Linked DNA regions of Drosophila melanogaster. The protein of the gene in region 2 interacts with the protein of the main gene of each other region in a pairwise test. Each region holds a gene or a part of one and is shown on either strand. Other genes may lie near its edges.

Evidence for each region. Proteins that work in one complex are often made in the same cells at the same time.
Region 1: the proteins of sit (region 2) and shv interact in a two-hybrid assay, tested with the Drosophila melanogaster proteins (one large-scale study listed by BioGRID).

What each region holds. Positions count from the first base shown.
Region 1 is NT_033779.5:449,156-456,594, reverse strand, and holds shv (shriveled), read right to left. Parts: upstream 3,488-7,439; 5' UTR 3,334-3,487; coding exon 2,325-3,333; intron 2,266-2,324; coding exon 2,210-2,265; 3' UTR 1,941-2,209; downstream 1-1,940. Other genes in the region: CG4133 (uncharacterized protein), read right to left, coding at 1-56, 127-306, 372-509, 768-794; crq (croquemort), read left to right, coding at 5,801-5,929, 6,055-7,160, 7,275-7,365, 7,425-7,439. UniProt on the Drosophila melanogaster protein: Maintains stem cell niche architecture in the testes.
Region 2 is NT_033777.3:22,555,540-22,565,209, reverse strand, and holds sit (stuck in traffic), read left to right. Parts: upstream 1-2,637; 5' UTR 2,638-2,685; intron 2,686-4,780; 5' UTR 4,781-4,900; coding exon 4,901-4,961; intron 4,962-5,034; coding exon 5,035-5,600; intron 5,601-5,941; coding exon 5,942-6,202; 3' UTR 6,203-6,868; downstream 6,869-9,670. Other genes in the region: james bond, read right to left, coding at 9,087-9,670.

The DNA.
Region 1 (7,439 bases), on a different chromosome or scaffold from region 2:
AATACCTCACACCGCATAATGTCGCAGAAGTCGGCCAGGCAAACGGCATCCTCCGCCTGAAGAATTCAAGTGGAATTGGAGATATCAGTACACTAGAACTAAACCTCTCTCTAAATAGTTTTTTACCTCATTGATGATGCTCTTGTGGCGTGTGTCGAAATGTAAGTCCAGATGCTTCTCCTGGTAGAAGCTCTTGCCACATTTCCTGCACGTCCACTGAGTAGGTCGATCCCTCTGCTTGGCATCCTGGCGGGGGGCAAAGACATCCCGGAACGGATGGAGCGGGCACTCCAGCGGCAGCTTCACCTTTAAGTTGATTTGTCTCGGTAAGGCAGGTTTGAATCGAGGGAACTCCGATGTAGTGGACTTACCTGATGCTTGTCCAGAATGGGAGTCCATTTGGAGCGCACTATTTTGCGCACCAGTCGGCTGTTATCTCGCGAGCAGAGGATTCTGATCACATTCGTGGGTGGCCATGGTATTAGCAGCAGAAAGTAGACCAGTGCAATCTGAAAGTGTTTTAATTGGGTCTCTAGATTTGGCATGAAACCAGAACATACAACGTAGCCCAGCACGCAACTTTGCCGGCTGACCTAAAACCACCCTCCCTTTCTTTTTTGGGTCACTTAAAGTTGAAGGGAGACCCTCGCAGAAAATCGATAGCGAAAAAACTGAATGAAAGGGGTGGGCAGTTGCGTCTTCGCGGAACACGAAATCCGTGGGACGGGAACTGAAAAGACTGCTCGGAGGAGTTGCTCGCGACTCACCTCGAAATTATGATATTTAGGCGACATTCATACTATGTATTTATGGTCGTTGTGCTGTTGGTGTCTTGTTTTTTCGGTCTAGAAATCCTTTTTCTAGTTCTCCTTTTCCAACTCAACTTCACTTTCCAATGCGAGGTATGAAGTAAAGGATGGTAGGCAATAATATCTTTTAGCCTTGCCAATGACTGGTTTTTTCGGTTGTGGGTTCTGCTTTCTGATAAAATAAATAATAAAGCTGGATCGAGCTTGTCCACGTCCGCACTGGTACAAATTTCTTCGCTCTCTAATGTGAATTCGCTACTTCCTGTAACGCTCTCCCGATTGTTCGCTCTCGGTTTTACTCCCGTTAGAACGTTGTCCTGCGCCAGTTATCGACAGCTGAGCCAAGGTTGCAATAATGCAGCCTATCGATTGTCTTAATATAATAGTTTTCAAATTAAATTATTTCTGAGACAATCAAAAAATCCCTTTTAAAAACAGTAAATCAAAAATAGTAGCTTCCGCAAAGTTGTATATAATTTAAATCCGCTTTATTTTGTGGGGGTTGGTTTTTGTTGCAATTCCTTTTTGTCGGCAGGAACCGCCTTAATAGTTCCCTCTCATTACACTTTTGCTATTTTACAAAATTCTAAACTAAAATTAAATTGTTTTCGCACAACTTTTTTGAACAAAGTCATCTCTTGAATTAGGGGCGTTCCCAAATCAAAGTCGCCCTGTTAGTTAGGCATTTAAAAACTAGAGTACAGCCGGCGAGCACTTTTATTGGGGATGAAACATGGGTATTCACAGTCCATTGTATATGCGATTGATGGAGGATTGGTCGAGTATTTTCTTGAGCGCTAGAATTAGAAACGTTTATTAATGAAACAATTACTCTTGTGATAATGTATATGCTAACCTTCCTTGTCCTCCTCCGTAAGATCCTTCTTGGGGAACTCCACATCGAAGGTGATGTACAGGTTGCCGGTGAGGTTGTTGTTCTCAAAGTTGGGCATGCCCTCGCCCTTCTTGCGGATTCCTGCGCCAGTTATCGACAGCTGAGCCAAGGTTGCAATAATGCAGCCTATCGATTGTCTTAATATAATAGTTTTCAAATTAAATTATTTCTGAGACAATCAAAAAATCCCTTTTAAAAACAGTAAATCAAAAATAGTAGCTTCCGCAAAGTTGTATATAATTTAAATCCGCTTTATTTTGTGGGGGTTGGTTTTTGTTGCAATTCCTTTTTGTCGGCAGGAACCGCCTTAATAGTTCCCTCTCATTACACTTTTGCTATTTTACAAAATTCTAAACTAAAATTAAATTGTTTTCGCACAACTTTTTTGAACAAAGTCATCTCTTGAATTAGGGGCGTTCCCAAATCAAAGTCGCCCTGTTAGTTAGGCATTTAAAAACTAGAGTACAGCCGGCGAGCACTTTTATTGGGGATGAAACATGGGTATTCACAGTCCATTGTATATGCGATTGATGGAGGATTGGTCGAGTATTTTCTTGAGCGCTAGAATTAGAAACGTTTATTAATGAAACAATTACTCTTGTGATAATGTATATGCTAACCTTCCTTGTCCTCCTCCGTAAGATCCTTCTTGGGGAACTCCACATCGAAGGTGATGTACAGGTTGCCGGTGAGGTTGTTGTTCTCAAAGTTGGGCATGCCCTCGCCCTTCTTGCGGATTCTAGCGCCGGGCCACGTTACCTTCTCTCTCGTGACGGGCACCAGGTGTCCATCAAGGTGCTTGATCTCCATGGAGAAGCCGACAAGGGCATCCTGCAGACTGATGGTCACGTTCGTGTACAGATCATCATTCTTGCGCAGGAATCGCGGATGCGGCATTTGTTGAACCCGCACAATGAGGTCGCCGGGCTCCCCATCGATATGTGGCTCCCCCTCGGCCACGAACCTCGTCTCTTGGCCGTCGACCATGCCCTGTTCCACCTCGATCTCCAATGTGCGCTCCTCGTTGACTAGCTTCACGTTGGGACACTCGTCGCACACCGTCTGTTGGATCATCTGGAAGCGCCCGGGTCCAAGGTTCCGGGTGACCATCTCCTGGCGGCAGTTGCATTTCCTGGTGCCTGAGGCGGGTTTCGTTACAGGCTTGTTCCTCACAATTTCCACAAAGTTTCCGGAGTATAGCTCCTCCAGGGAAACGTACAAGTCCATTACGATATCGGCGCCTCGCGGAGCATCTTGCTGCTGGCCATCACCACCGAAGTGAAAGCCGAAGTCCCCAAAGAAGCTAGAGAACGGATCACCACCGTGATCCATCATGCCCTCCTTCTTGAGGCATTCCTCGCCGCAGCGGTCGTAGGTCTTCCGTTTGTCCGGATTGGAGAGGACTTCGTAGGCCGCTCCCAGGTCCTGGAACTTTGTGGAGGCATCCGGGTCGTCCTTGTTCTTATCCGGATGCAGCTCCTTGGCCAAACGGCGATACGCCTTCTTCACTTCGTTCGTGTTGGCGTTTTTCTTTACGTTCAGTATTTTGTAGAAGTCCCGGCCGGCAAATGACTCCTCCACCAGCAAGAGGGACAGCTGAATTATAACCAAGCACTTGATAAGCTGCATTTCGTTTTTGATCCTGTTTGATTCAGCAATTCATTCTTTTTAACCAGCTGATTCGAAATACGATTTTAAATGCTGGCAAAAGTGTAAAAAAATTGTAGTTGTCGCCGCTGGCAGCTTTGTTTGTGTGTGTGAGTCGTGGTCTGCGCTGATTGGTTGGCACTGTCGTTAGGGTTGTCACCACTTCTCTAACAGAACAGCTGTTTCGCATTACAGTCAATCCAAAAACTGTGGCAACGTTGCTTACAGTGCTGTTACAGCGCATATAAACGCTTCTGGTCACACTCGCCCAGCGAAGATAAAGAAATAAATTGTTTAATCCAATTTAGCCCAGCAAACTGCAAGTTTGCAGTTTATCTTTCTCTGCTTGCCCTCTTCGGCAACGCGAAAGTGCCTTTTTTTTAGTTGGATAGCAGCTTTCAGATCAATTCCAAAGGCGCTTCCCACGCTTGAGTTTAGCTGTAAAAGTAATAAGAAGGGAAGTCTGACAATTTGAATCCCTTTCGTACGGTACTTTTGCGATTCCAGGCACCAAAGGTAAAGGGACTAAGCGATCATCGAAGCGGGAAGTCCCAGAAAAATAAATTTACTCCGAACTATGGCATAATAAATGTCAAGGCCAAAGCAAAACAATAACAGAGCCATCAGAAGCTAATGCTAAAAGACGTAGTTGTGTGTGAGATAAAAGGTGAGTAATTCATCACTTTAATTATGCAGCCGGTAATGTGCAATAATACGTGAATATAACTGTACGCCTAATTCGCAACTGGTGATGTCAACACTTTAAGCGCAAGTTGATCGAGGTTTAAGTTCAACCAGAAAGCAAACATTTCACGGGATGCAAGCTATCGCCCTCAAAAGAGAGACAACATGCAGTAAACATATATAGTGCATACACAATGCAGTTTACAACAAACTATTTTAAAAACCATTTAATATTAATCAATTATTATTAATATTAATTCGCCTTAAACAGTTAACATGAATTCTCGAGTTATCCTACTGGGACTCGTACAAGCTCAAAAGGCTCTACTGTAGTTCCAGACCCCCTTTTTTGCCTGTTATCAGTCGTTAAACAAAGAAATATTCATTGTAGTATAGAGCCAGCCCAATAATCCGACAAAAACAAGACTGAGTCAGTCGACGGGAGGAAACAAAGCAGGGAATCGAAATTGCAATACGATATGCACCAGACTTACGATAAAAACAGGCCCCGTTCCTATTGCATTAAAAGAACTTTGGATTACAGGACGGATCAAGGCTGATATGGTATAGTAAAGCATATTTCGACCGAATTATCAGTATCTCCACAAAGCTAATCTTATCAGTGCCATAAATAGGAACCCCTTGTGAGAACATCTTGACCAACCAACCACAGAAGCAAATAGCCGAGAAATGCGGGTATTACCCAGATAACGATACTAAACACTATCTTAGACTTGAATGAATTTGAATTGCAGACAAGCATGGACATAAATAACATCTAGGCATGAAATTACCATAATTATAAATGTTTATAATATTAAAAGGAATTTTAACTATTGTAAATCAATCTGCCATAAAACCTACTCACTCGATCAGAATAACCACCCGAGTCGATCTAGCCATCCGCCTTCGCATGAACGCTTTGATCTCGCGAACTATAAATGTTAGAAAGATAAGATTTTCATTTCTATCGCTATGCTACAAATATTTGCAACATACCCACTCTGAATACCAAAATATTAAAATTTTGTGGCAGCCAGCTACCTGAGTTACGAGTAACTGAAAGTCGAGGAATTCGAGTAGAGTGATCTCTTTTTTGTGTTTCTCCAAACGCATCCAAGTTAATGCCAATCAAGCAAATATTCCCGACTAGCAAAGTCCAGAGATTAATAAACGAACCGAGTGGTAATTGAACGTCAAGTGAACCCATTAAAAGACACACAGTAGACCGCTGGCCACCAGTTTCGCCCTGCCAGGGGACGCGTACGGTTTTGATAGTTCCGATTGTGCTAAGGCCGGAATATTTTCGATCCCCTTTGATTGAAAACTAGTAAGTTTAGGCGACCTAAACAGTGGCAAGTGCTAGAAAACTGAATAGATCTGCGGATGTCTGCACTTGAAGTTGACTGTGCGGATAAGTGGGCTGTCCCACGTAATCTTCTCCAACTGTCATGGACTGCAAAATATATTCAAAAATATACACTTATAATCGCCGATGCTTATCGAATACTTAAGCAGGGACCAGCCGGCGATAAGCCTTGGTCTTATTATTTTCAAAATTACCAACTCTGCAGGGTGCCAGGATGGGTGTACCGGGAAATAAACTAATAAAAATTCGATACGGATTATGGACATTGATTATACAAGGAAAAATAACCCCACAAACTGTCTTCACTTCCAGATGCAACTAACTGCCTAGGGCTGGATTATTCCCACCTTGGCTATTCCTTAAAAGCGTGAACCTTTGGAATCCTACGTATCCACCATGTGCTGCAAGTGCTGCGGGGAAACTCAACGAAAGGTCTGGGTCTTCGGCTTGGGATCGGTTTTCCTTTTGCTGGGAATACTAATCGTGGTCTTCTGGCCGGGTATTGCAGATAACCTTGTAGAGGATGTAAGTATATTTAGCCGTCCGAGATTGCGTATTACAGGTTCAGGGAAATATGTTTACCGAACGATAACTAAAAAAAAAAAAGATTTTCATTTCGACATACTAAAATGAACTTAATCTTTACCCAGGGCCTTACCCTCAAGCCCGGGACTGATGCCTATGAAAGCTGGCTGGAGGCACCTATCCCCATTTACCTGAGCTTTTACATGTTCAATTGGACGAATCCCGAGGACATAAGGAACCCGGACATTAAGCCAAACTTCGTGGAAATGGGTCCGTACACCTTCCTGGAAAAGCACAAGAAGGAGAACTATACGTTTTACGATAATGCAACGGTGGCATATTATGAGCGCCGCACATGGTTCTTTGATCCGGAGAGATCCAATGGCACATTGGACGACATGGTGACTGCTGCCCATGCCATTACCGCCACGGTAGCGGATGAGATGCGAGACCAGCGCAAGATCGTCAAAAAAATCATAAACTTTATGCTGAACCATGAAGGCGGAAAGTTGTACGTAACCAAGCCGGTGGGCGAATGGATCTTCGAGGGTTACCAGGATAACATTACCGATTTCCTAAACCTGTTCAACACCACAAAGATCGACATACCCTACAAACGCTTCGGGTGGCTGGCGGACCGCAATGAGTCGCTGACTTACGATGGCTTGTTTACTATTCACACGGGCACTGACGATATATCTAATCTGGGTAGACTTACCCACTGGAATGGAAAATCAGAAACTGGATTTTACGAGATGCCTTGTGGCATTGTTAATGGAACCACGGGCGACATGTTCCCGCCAAAGATGAATGTAAACGATGAGATTACGATTTTTGCCACCGATGCTTGCAGATTTATGAACCTCCGGCCCCGGGGCACATACGAGAATCACGGCCTGACCGCCACTAAGTGGGTAGGCACCGAGGAGACTCTGGACTCCGGAGAAAACTACCCTAACCAGGCGTGCTTCTGTGATGAGGCGCGATTTGATGAATGTCCCAAGACCGGTGTCGTGGAGTGCAAGGCGTGCCGAGACAAAGCACCCATTTACTCCTCCTTCCCTCACTTTTACCTAGCGGATCAGTCGTATGTTGATGCTGTCAGTGGAATGAAGCCGGAGAAGGAGAAGCACGAGTTCTTCCTAGCCGTGGAACCGATTACTGGAGTGCCTGTCCAAGTGCATGGACGCATCCAGATTAATATGATGATTGAGCCCGATGACGACTTCGAGTAAGTAAAGTAAAAGTTCATGGATAAAAACTACTCATACGATTCATACAATTACGTACATAAAAGCAAAGGTCTCAAGGAAAATGTAAGTCATAAAGTAAATTTTATTTGCAGCATATATCGTGGAGTGCAAAAGGTTTTAATGCCCATGTTCTGGTTCGATCAGTATGCAGAGCTCTCCTCCGAATTGGCATCGAAGGCCAAGGTAAGACCTAATCCATATTTGAAATGTCTTTCATTTAAGTGCCATACTTTCCATTTCAGTTGGCCATTAATTTG
Region 2 (9,670 bases):
TTTTGTGGGAATCCCTGAGCAATCAATTCATCATCGGTTATAACCTACCACATTTAATAATGGTATTATGATCATTAAAAACTAATAAAAAATGTTTGTAATAATTATTGTATTTTGTTTTAAAAATTTGCATGGCTTTTTTCTTCACAGTCTACAGCTGTGTATAAAATAATATTTGTATAAAAATTTAATTCAAAGAGTTTTAGCCAAGTTTTAGTCTTAACTTTTGTAGATTTAAACCAATATTTTTCAGTCATGCTTGCAACACATCGAAATTGTTAAGCTTTTTAAGCTTGGCTTTGCAAACTTGAACACCAGATGGCGCCAGCAGCGTGTGAAAAAGCCAAGCTCGGAAATTGAAGTCGGCGGACCGCAAAAAACTTTAATGCGGCCAATTAAACATTTAAGAGCCTCATTTGCAATTGCTGTTAACAATCTTACGACTACAAGTTGCTGTAGGCAGGAAAATAAAGTTCGTTTTATTGGAGTAACTTTGCTGAAATTGTTTGATCATCGGAAATCAATGATTCAACTGTTTGACGCCCTTGAAAGCAGAAAAATCACCAGTTATCATAATTACTTTATAATGTTTTGTCCCATCGCCAATTGAGGGTTCTACAAGCCAAAGACATTTTGCACATTTGATTATTACCCTTGCGACTCAATTTTGTCTACGCAATTTGCCGCGAATATACAAACAAATTCAATAATAATTGTTTAACGGTTTGTTCGCCAGTTTGACTGTTGGCTAAATGTAAATGTTTGCGGAAGATATTTGCATAACTGGCAGCAACCCCTCAGATACATTTATATATACATACATACATACATACATATATATCGAACTCGATCGCATGAATCGTCTGCAGCGACAGCGATAATAAACTAACGTCTTTTGCATACGATTATGATCCGCTTGATGGCTGGTGGCCAAACAAAAGACGAATGCAAATGAAATCCGAAACACCGGAAGAATTTGTCACTGGCTGAGGCGCACACGGCGTATGATTGATTCCTGGCCAACGAAGGGATTCACCCGATCAACCATACGCCCGGTCGACATTCACCCACATCTTATGCAGTCCACTCGGATTCGAACTCGAACTGGTTGGCATAAGCTAATCGGCAAGTTCAAGTTCAATTCGCCGGTGACACAGTTAACATTTCGGTGACCCCAGCCTCAGCCTCTGTTTTTTTTTTTCTCAGACATCGAAGTTCGAAGTCTTGGCCAAAATAGTTGCTATCGGTTTGGTTTCATTAACTTGACCCGGAAGTGGGCCTTAATCGATGCGCTGCGATCATTGTGGGTCGTTAGAATCCGATTCCGAATCTGATTCCGAGCCCTGGGCCCAAAGAATTTGTATGTAAATTGCCAGGTAAATGCGCCGTTTCCTTGAATAAACTTTACAAACACTTTTAACGAAATACTTCTGGCTGTAAACCTTTCCGCTTTATGCCGATAATAGCAATGTTTTAGGCTTGTTTTAAATAGTTTTCAAATTGCTTGTAAAACAGTCTAGGGAATTTCGCTGATTCGCCAAAAAAAAAGGTCAACGAAATTATAAACCACCTACGCAGTTTCAGTTCAGTTCAGTTGGGTTAGGTTCTAAAGTTCATACTGGAGTTAAAGCGTGAATAAGTATTTCAAGTGGGTCAAGGTTACGAAAGCGAATTTGGATGAAGATATAAAAAAAGGGAGAATTACCAGAAACCGAAAACAAAATAGAATGAACATTTCATTCTGAGGCGATTTGAGACTATTTCTAGGGTTTGTTGTCATATTCTGGCTAATGATGAAAGAGCCTAAGGGAATGGATAAATAATACTCTATAATGACTGAATGTTGTTTAAAAAGCTATTAATTGAGAGAAAATGAAAGTATCATTAGGGTACACATACGTATATGTAGAATATATTCTCATTTGATAGAATGTTAGTTTCTGTTTGTTATTAGCAAACTAATCAGAGTTGTCCGCTGGGATTGGCTGTGTTTTCTAAAATAAAAACATTTTACTTTGCAAATGTTTAAATGAATTTTCTGTTTATTAGGTCTTGTTATTCAAATTTCTGGAAGCACGCTCAATGCCATAAATTCGCTATCCTCTAAGTTCTACCGCAATCGCTTTGACCAAATCGATCAAAAGTGACAACTATTCAAGAATATTTTATGATTCTTTTAATTGTACAAAAGGCTGCACAACCAAATACAAAACGAATTAAAAGCCAGACGATTTTGGCCAACAACAGCAACAAAAAGCCGGCAACACGCACACACAACACCAACATTGTTATCGCAATTATCATAGAAAAACGAGACCATACGAGACCATTCGATACATTTTGTGTATGTAGCATATAGCATATAGCGTTTGGAATCCACGAGGCACAAAAGAACATCTTAAAGCTAAAGCTAAAGTCAAAGATGAGGATGAGCAAGATGCCAAATAGCCGAGACAAAAGTTCGGCTAAACAAAAACTAAAGCTGAATCTAAACGCCGAACTGAAGATGAACTGAATACAGATACAGAAACAGATACAGATACAAAAACAAATCGGAAGGCAGAGACGAAGAAACAGCAGTGCCAAATCGAACCTTTAGTCGAAATTTTTATACATAGCGCCGTACAACTCGGCGGAGCAGTTCAGTGCGCGTACAAGTCTCGTGGGTAGCGGATGCCAGCAAAGGTATCTCCCCACTATACAATAATATACCATACTAAACTATACTATACCACACCACACCACATAGTGCCTCATATCAGCCTCATTTGAGCAAGACTAAAGATGGAACAAGACTAAAAAACAGTTGTCACGGTGCTAACATTAAGTTGTCGTCGCTCAAAATTAAGTGCACGGCAATCGAAGAGATTGCAACAGGTGCCCAACAAACCGCTTCATCTGTGTGTGCCAGTGTGTGTGTGTAGATATATCTGAGTGATCAATCAGATCAATCGTTGGAGGCGAGCAGTTATAGAATTCGTGGCTTAGACTGGATTGATACGCTGGTAGAGGTCCCTGAAAGTGAAGTTCTGTAGCTATTCAATCGACAGATCAGCTGACAAGGAAAGGTTTATAAAGTTTGTGCATTTCAATAGTTAGGGTACATATCCTTAAAAATCAACAAAGTATTTCAACACTTAAAAGGCTAGTAAAGATGAGCAAGGATACGCTTGTGTTTACATCTTTCTAAAATTTGCTTAGAAGCACAAGTAGATGATACTTCATATTTTGTATCTTTCACTTCCATGCCTAATATTTAGCTTAGATCAGCAAACTTTTTTTTTTTGCATAGAACAAGTGCCATATGAGGAGTTTAGCGATCTCCACCTGTCAAGGTCATTAAACCAATGCGACACATATTTGATTTTGGCAAAAACAAAACCGCCGTCGTCCAAATTGGGCAATAGGTGACACAATTTTCTATTTGCTCGCTCTAGGTGCTTCCAAGGTTTCCCACATCTCCGGACATTTACCAAATGACTAACCAAGTGGAAATACCCTCAAATTGGCTGGCGATGATCAGCCAGACACGACGGCGTCCAAATGATGCGACATCTTATGGCTTAGATCATAATTCCCACCCATTCCCGAACACACACAAAATAAAAAAGAGCAAGAAACGCATGGCAAGGTCGTAATTCCAACTGAAAATTGATAAACTGGATTTTCTTGGCCAGTATTTTGTGCGGCCAACAAAAGTGTTTAGCACCTTTTGGCTTATGACTGCCATTTGTCGCCTTCCCCCTCAAGATTTTCTGGCCCCATTCTGCGCTAACTGTTGCAGGTAATATTCAAACGGAGCCATAACACCTGAAGTGCAGGAAATGACCGGAGAGCTGAAGCCAAACCTGTTGATGGCTGCTGATAGCCGACTGGAGTGTTGGCCAAGTTGCCCTTCAAAATATCTCCTCAGTCGTTTTTTTTTTTATTTCAATTTGTTCCTCACTTCGCAGACCAAGAAGCCGATCAGAATAGCCTCGAAAACGACGCAAGAAATCATAATGCTATTCGATTATTTTGTGGTCTTAATCGGCCTTAGCCAAGTTCAAGTGTGAGTCGACTTCAAGTCAACGAACGTGAATGCTTGGAATTTAGCATGGGTGCTTGATAGCTCGATGGTTCTCAAATGCCCCCTTTGGAGGAGCAAGTTCTTGGCGATGATTAATCACCGGGAGTACCACTTCACTCTGTCCCACTTTGGACTAAACGACTTCTGTAGAAGATCCCCGAGATCCGTAAGAGAGTGGCAAGCAACAGCTCAAAACCAAACAAACTGCACAACACAAATATAATTTAGCTGGGTGTGCGAGTGGGTTTTATGCGTTCCACACGTGAGGCACTGAGGCACTGCCCAATTTACTTGGGTCTTGTATCTCGGGTCGTGAGGCAACCAACCAACCATGGTATGGGCCATATGGAGTTGAAGTTTTGAGGTGGCCACCAATTTGTTGCGGGCTGTTGTGCGCTGCGGTTGTTTAATTCATAATAATGAATATAATTTACTGTTACTGTTACATGATAATTTCACGGCATTTCACCGTCACCGTCACACATTTGCTATTTGCTATTCTCCTTCGCCTTCGTTTGATTATTATTTTAATTTTATTTAGATTTCTGGGCTCGGCAACAGCAACAGCAAAAGCAATGGCAAAAGCTGTAGCTGAAGCTATAGCTTTGGCATTAGTTGCTCGAGAATCGCATTAACATAACTTAACTACGAAAACTCGAAAAGATCTTTCCCTCATCCAGACTCCCTTCCGATCTTCCCAATTCCATTTAGATTTCGCAAAACTCGTTCGTTGCGACGCAGGCTAAGCAGATTTTTGAATTTCACATCGAAACGATCGTCGCTATATAATCGTATTTGTGGGAGCAAGAGTCCAACGAGGAGAATTTAAAAATGGCAGCCGTCAACGCAACACAGGTGGACTATTGGAATTTTCTGTTCACCGATCTGGCAGGTGAGTTGGATGGGGAGGGGAACTACCTGTGCCGCATATAGATGCTGATCAAATCCCTGATATTCCCACGCAGATCCCCGCACCAATGACTGGTTCCTGATCAAGTCGCCACTGCCCCTGCTGGGCATCCTGGCCTTCTATCTCTTCTTCGTGCTGTCCTGGGGACCCAAGTTCATGAAGGATCGCAAACCCTTCAAGCTGGAACGCACCCTGCTCGTCTACAATTTCTTCCAGGTAGCCCTCAGTGTTTGGATGGTCTACGAGGGCGTGGTCATCTGGCAGTACTACAGCTGGCGGTGCCAGCCGGTTGATTGGTCCCGCACACCCAAGGCGTATCGTGAGGCGCGCGTCGTCTATGTCTACTATCTGGCCAAGATTACCGAGCTGCTGGACACCATTTTCTTTGTGCTGCGCAAGAATGACCGACAGGTGACCTTCCTGCATGTCTACCATCACACGGTGATGCCCATGATCAGCTGGGGCACCAGCAAGTACTATCCCGGCGGACATGGCACCTTCATTGGCTGGATCAACTCCTTCGTGCACATTATCATGTACTCCTACTACTTCCTCTCCGCCTTCGGACCCCAGATGCAGAAGTATCTGTGGTGGAAGAAGTACATCACCAACCTGCAGATGGTAAGAACGCTTTATACGCTATCCATAGATATCTGTAGTATTTCAATTTGAGGGGTTATAAGAGGTTTATTACTTGCTTTGCTAATGACTTCATCTTAGAACTAAATAGGAAAGCACTTAAGTGGAAAATATTCAAATGTATTCTTTGATTTTAGGGCTGCACTTAAAAGTGATATATAGTTTTATTTTGTTGTGAGATACTAGAGCTCTACAACCATTTCATTTTAAAATTATCTAGATTAGTATAAGTACAAAACAGATAGATTCAGAAATAGATAGCACCTCATTCTTCCTTATCGATAGCTCTTAATGGTCTCCCGATTTTACGATTATTCTTACAGATCCAGTTCTGCTGCGCCTTCATCCACCAGACGCAGCTGTTGTACACGGATTGTGGGTATCCCAGGTGGTCGGTGTGCTTTACCCTGCCCAACGCGGTGTTCTTCTACTTCCTGTTCAACGACTTCTACCAGAAGTCCTACAAGAAGAAGCAGGCTGCTGCCAAGGAGAAGGCTCTGTCGGCGGATAACAATAATGATGGATGTGCCAAGGACCTCAACAAGGCAATTCAGCTGCAGCAGGAGAAGCAGAAGGCCTTGTAAGAGGGAGGAGCACAAACACCCACCGCCACCCACCCACACACACCACCCTCAACACACAAAACCCCTTCAATACTCGTACAAAAGGGCGGGTAGAAACACCCACTGAGAGCCACCCATGTTCTATGTGCAACCTTGTTGACTAATTTCTTAAGTAATCCGCCGCCAAATAGACGTGAAGCACGAAAAAAAAAAGAAAATCAGAAACGAGACGAATAGATATTTGAGCAAATGAGGTTTTCGAGACACAGATACACATATTATGTAAATGTAAATGTAAATGTTCAAACAGTTGAAATTGCTTTTTGCCGCCATCGTCATCATCATCGCTCGCTCCGTTTGAAGTTCGCCATCGTGTCGGGCGGACCCAAATGAAAGAAGTCGTATGTCTTTCGGCCAAAACTGAAACTGAACTAAGTTAAGTAAACAGGCAGAAGAAGCGTTAGTTGTGTAAATAAGTGTAGGTACGCATGCGAATGTGTTTTCTTTAGATTTTATATACGTGTGGTATGTAAAGTAGGCATTAAACAAGTGAAAAACTAGCTAATAACGAAACCATAAATACAAACACAATTTACAAATAAATCTAGAATTTTTTCTACAAAAATATCGTAAAAAAACAATGAGCCTTATTCTTTATCTTATGAATGGGAAATTAACGGAAGTGAGAACTGACACTCCTAGTGTCAATATACTGAAAAAGATCTCAACTTTGCTTTTATGGGAATTTTTCATATAAATCTGTTTTTATGTATCGTATATTTGTCAAAAAAGTCTGACATTTTTAATTAATAGATCACTTTATCAGGATCATGTACCCCATACTATTTCTTTATAGTTTGAATGATCTTGTTTTCAATACATTTAAAAGTTTTTTCCTTTTGACGCAATAATATATTATACTTTTAAATGAATTACTTTTCATTTAAAGAAATAATGAATTAATGCAATTGGCCTTGAAAACATTGCATATTCAAGCATTTCCTGTAATCATTTGTGTTCATTCAACTTGTATTTATGGTTTCAAGCCACTTTAATGGTATATTTGTCTTTTCGACAACATTGGGGTATCTCCCAAAGAGCAATCACACCCATTTGCATCCCAATCTAGCCATTCATGATCTCAGTAAGCCTCAGATAAATCGCACGAGGTAACCTTTGCTCAAGGAACCAACTCAAATCGATTGACCAGCTGATATATGTATGTATAACCAAGAACCTATTCATTCAGCAGCGGAAGCCAAAATGATTTAAATTTGAATGGGCGTGGCTAGTACAACTGGTCTATGGGGTGATGATCTGGACACGATCGGTTCATGAATTTTTACGAGACTCTGGAAAGACGACCACTTGGCCACTCATTAGAGCTCATTTCGCAGGCACCTTGAACGGCGGCGACGGAGGAGATAAGATTTTGATAAATTCCGCAGCCTTTTATTGATCAATCAGTCAAGACGGAACGCAACTGAAGCGGAAGTGAAAACGCATCTTCGAGTGGGGTTGCGGCCATCCGATGTGCGGATACAGTATTCAATAAAGCCGGTTTGGACACTTGGCCTTGATCTTGACCACAAACATGAGAAAACAAAGCGCAGCTCTCAGCCAAAAATTTCGGTTTTTATCTGGCCCCAACCGGAGCTAAGCTAATGCCAATATTATACCAGTTTTATGGTCTGATCAGCATAGATTCTATCAGACTTTCGATTGAAGATGAAGATCTCCGGCGTTATTTATATATTTACCAAGAAACTGGAAAAAATTTCCATAATCACAATTCAAGGCATACTTTCAGGCCGTTCTTAGTTTTAAAACCAACATAGAGTTTGACCTATGCAAATGTCGCAAAAACGAGGCTCATTTAAAATAACACGCCTACCCATAGATACAAATCAAACTCTTTTCCAGGCCCTTGAACTTTGACTCGAATGTGTACAAAACAACAAGAGTTTTATACTCGAAATCTGCATAAATAAAGGTGCTTCATGTGATGCTGGAGGCATGTGTGTGAGTCAAGGCGAGTTAAGAAAAAATTGATTAGAAATTCTAATTTGGCAAAGACATTCTCCAATCGTCGCCAGGGTGTCTAAGCCTGGCCAACAAAATGGACGGGGCACACACAATGTTGGATAATCATCGCAGCACGCGTACTAGGTTCTACACTCATAAAAATATGGTTTATTTAAAGAATCGTTTTTTAGGGATGCAAAAATTTGTGCTTTTGTTTTATGATATTTCTAATCTGTTCTCTGATTAGACAGTTGGCACAAAAAGAGGTAGTATATCTTCACTCAATCGACAGATATTAATCACGTTTAATGGTTTGCAGATCTGCATAATTTTTCTTTGCGTGTGGATGGAGCGCGTGGCCATGCCGTTGTCATAAATAATAGGATCCAATGGGATCCGGTTTGATTACCTAACCCAAGAGCTTCGCGCAGAAATAGAAGTCCAAAAACCCCCAAAACCCAAAACCTGAACCCGAATTTCACCGGCAAAGAACAGACACAGACTTTTTTGGTTTTATTAAATATACAAAATTAAAGTTTTATTGAATTTTTCTTGTTTTGCGAAACGATTTACGGCTGCATTTCATTAATAAGCTCTATCACACTAGCTCTCATACACGCTCAGCTAGAAAAACATTAACACATACTCAGTCACACAAACATGGCCACATTCACGCACTTAGGGTCCTAGCTACTTTTTGGATTTGAATCATCATCCGCCTGCCCGGCATATAAACATTATACAAGTTATTCTCCGCAGACTACAGACTACTGATAGTTGGTAATGGTAAAGGTAAAGGTAAGAGTTACGAACTAAGCCCCGCTCTAAAAAACATAATTGCTAACTGAAATCCCAACGACACCATTTTCGGCATCGCCGATCATTCCAGCTTCATGGGCTTCACGCTGTTGTTGTTCAGATCGATGTACGCCTTTCCGACCTGGCCATTCTGGAGCAGATGCTTACCGGCGTTCATGGTCTGCGGCATGCAACCCATACCGCCGGCGGCACGCAGAGCGGATTGAGCCAAACTACTGCCGGTGGTGCGACTGCCTCCATCCACGGACTTGGCCTTCTTGTAGGTCTTGCGATAGAAATTGCCGAACAGGTAAAGGAAGATGACCGTGTTGCCCACGAAGAAGAAGGTCAGTGTCTTGGGCATGTTGCAGCCCTTGGCGCCCACGGTCAGCATGTAGCCCAGGATGAGGACGAACTGGATCAGCTGGATGCTGGTCATGTACTTCTTCCACCACAGGTACTTCTGGTACTGGGGTCCCATTGCGGCCACCATGTAGTAGAAGTACATGATAATGTGCACGCCCGAGTTGAGAATGCCAATGATCACGCCCTGCTCGCCGGGAGCGTACTTCAGGTAGCCCCAGGAGAAGAGCACCGTGATGGTGTGATGGTACACGTGTAGGAAGGACACCTGGTTGTCCTTCTTGCGCAGCACAAAGAACGTCG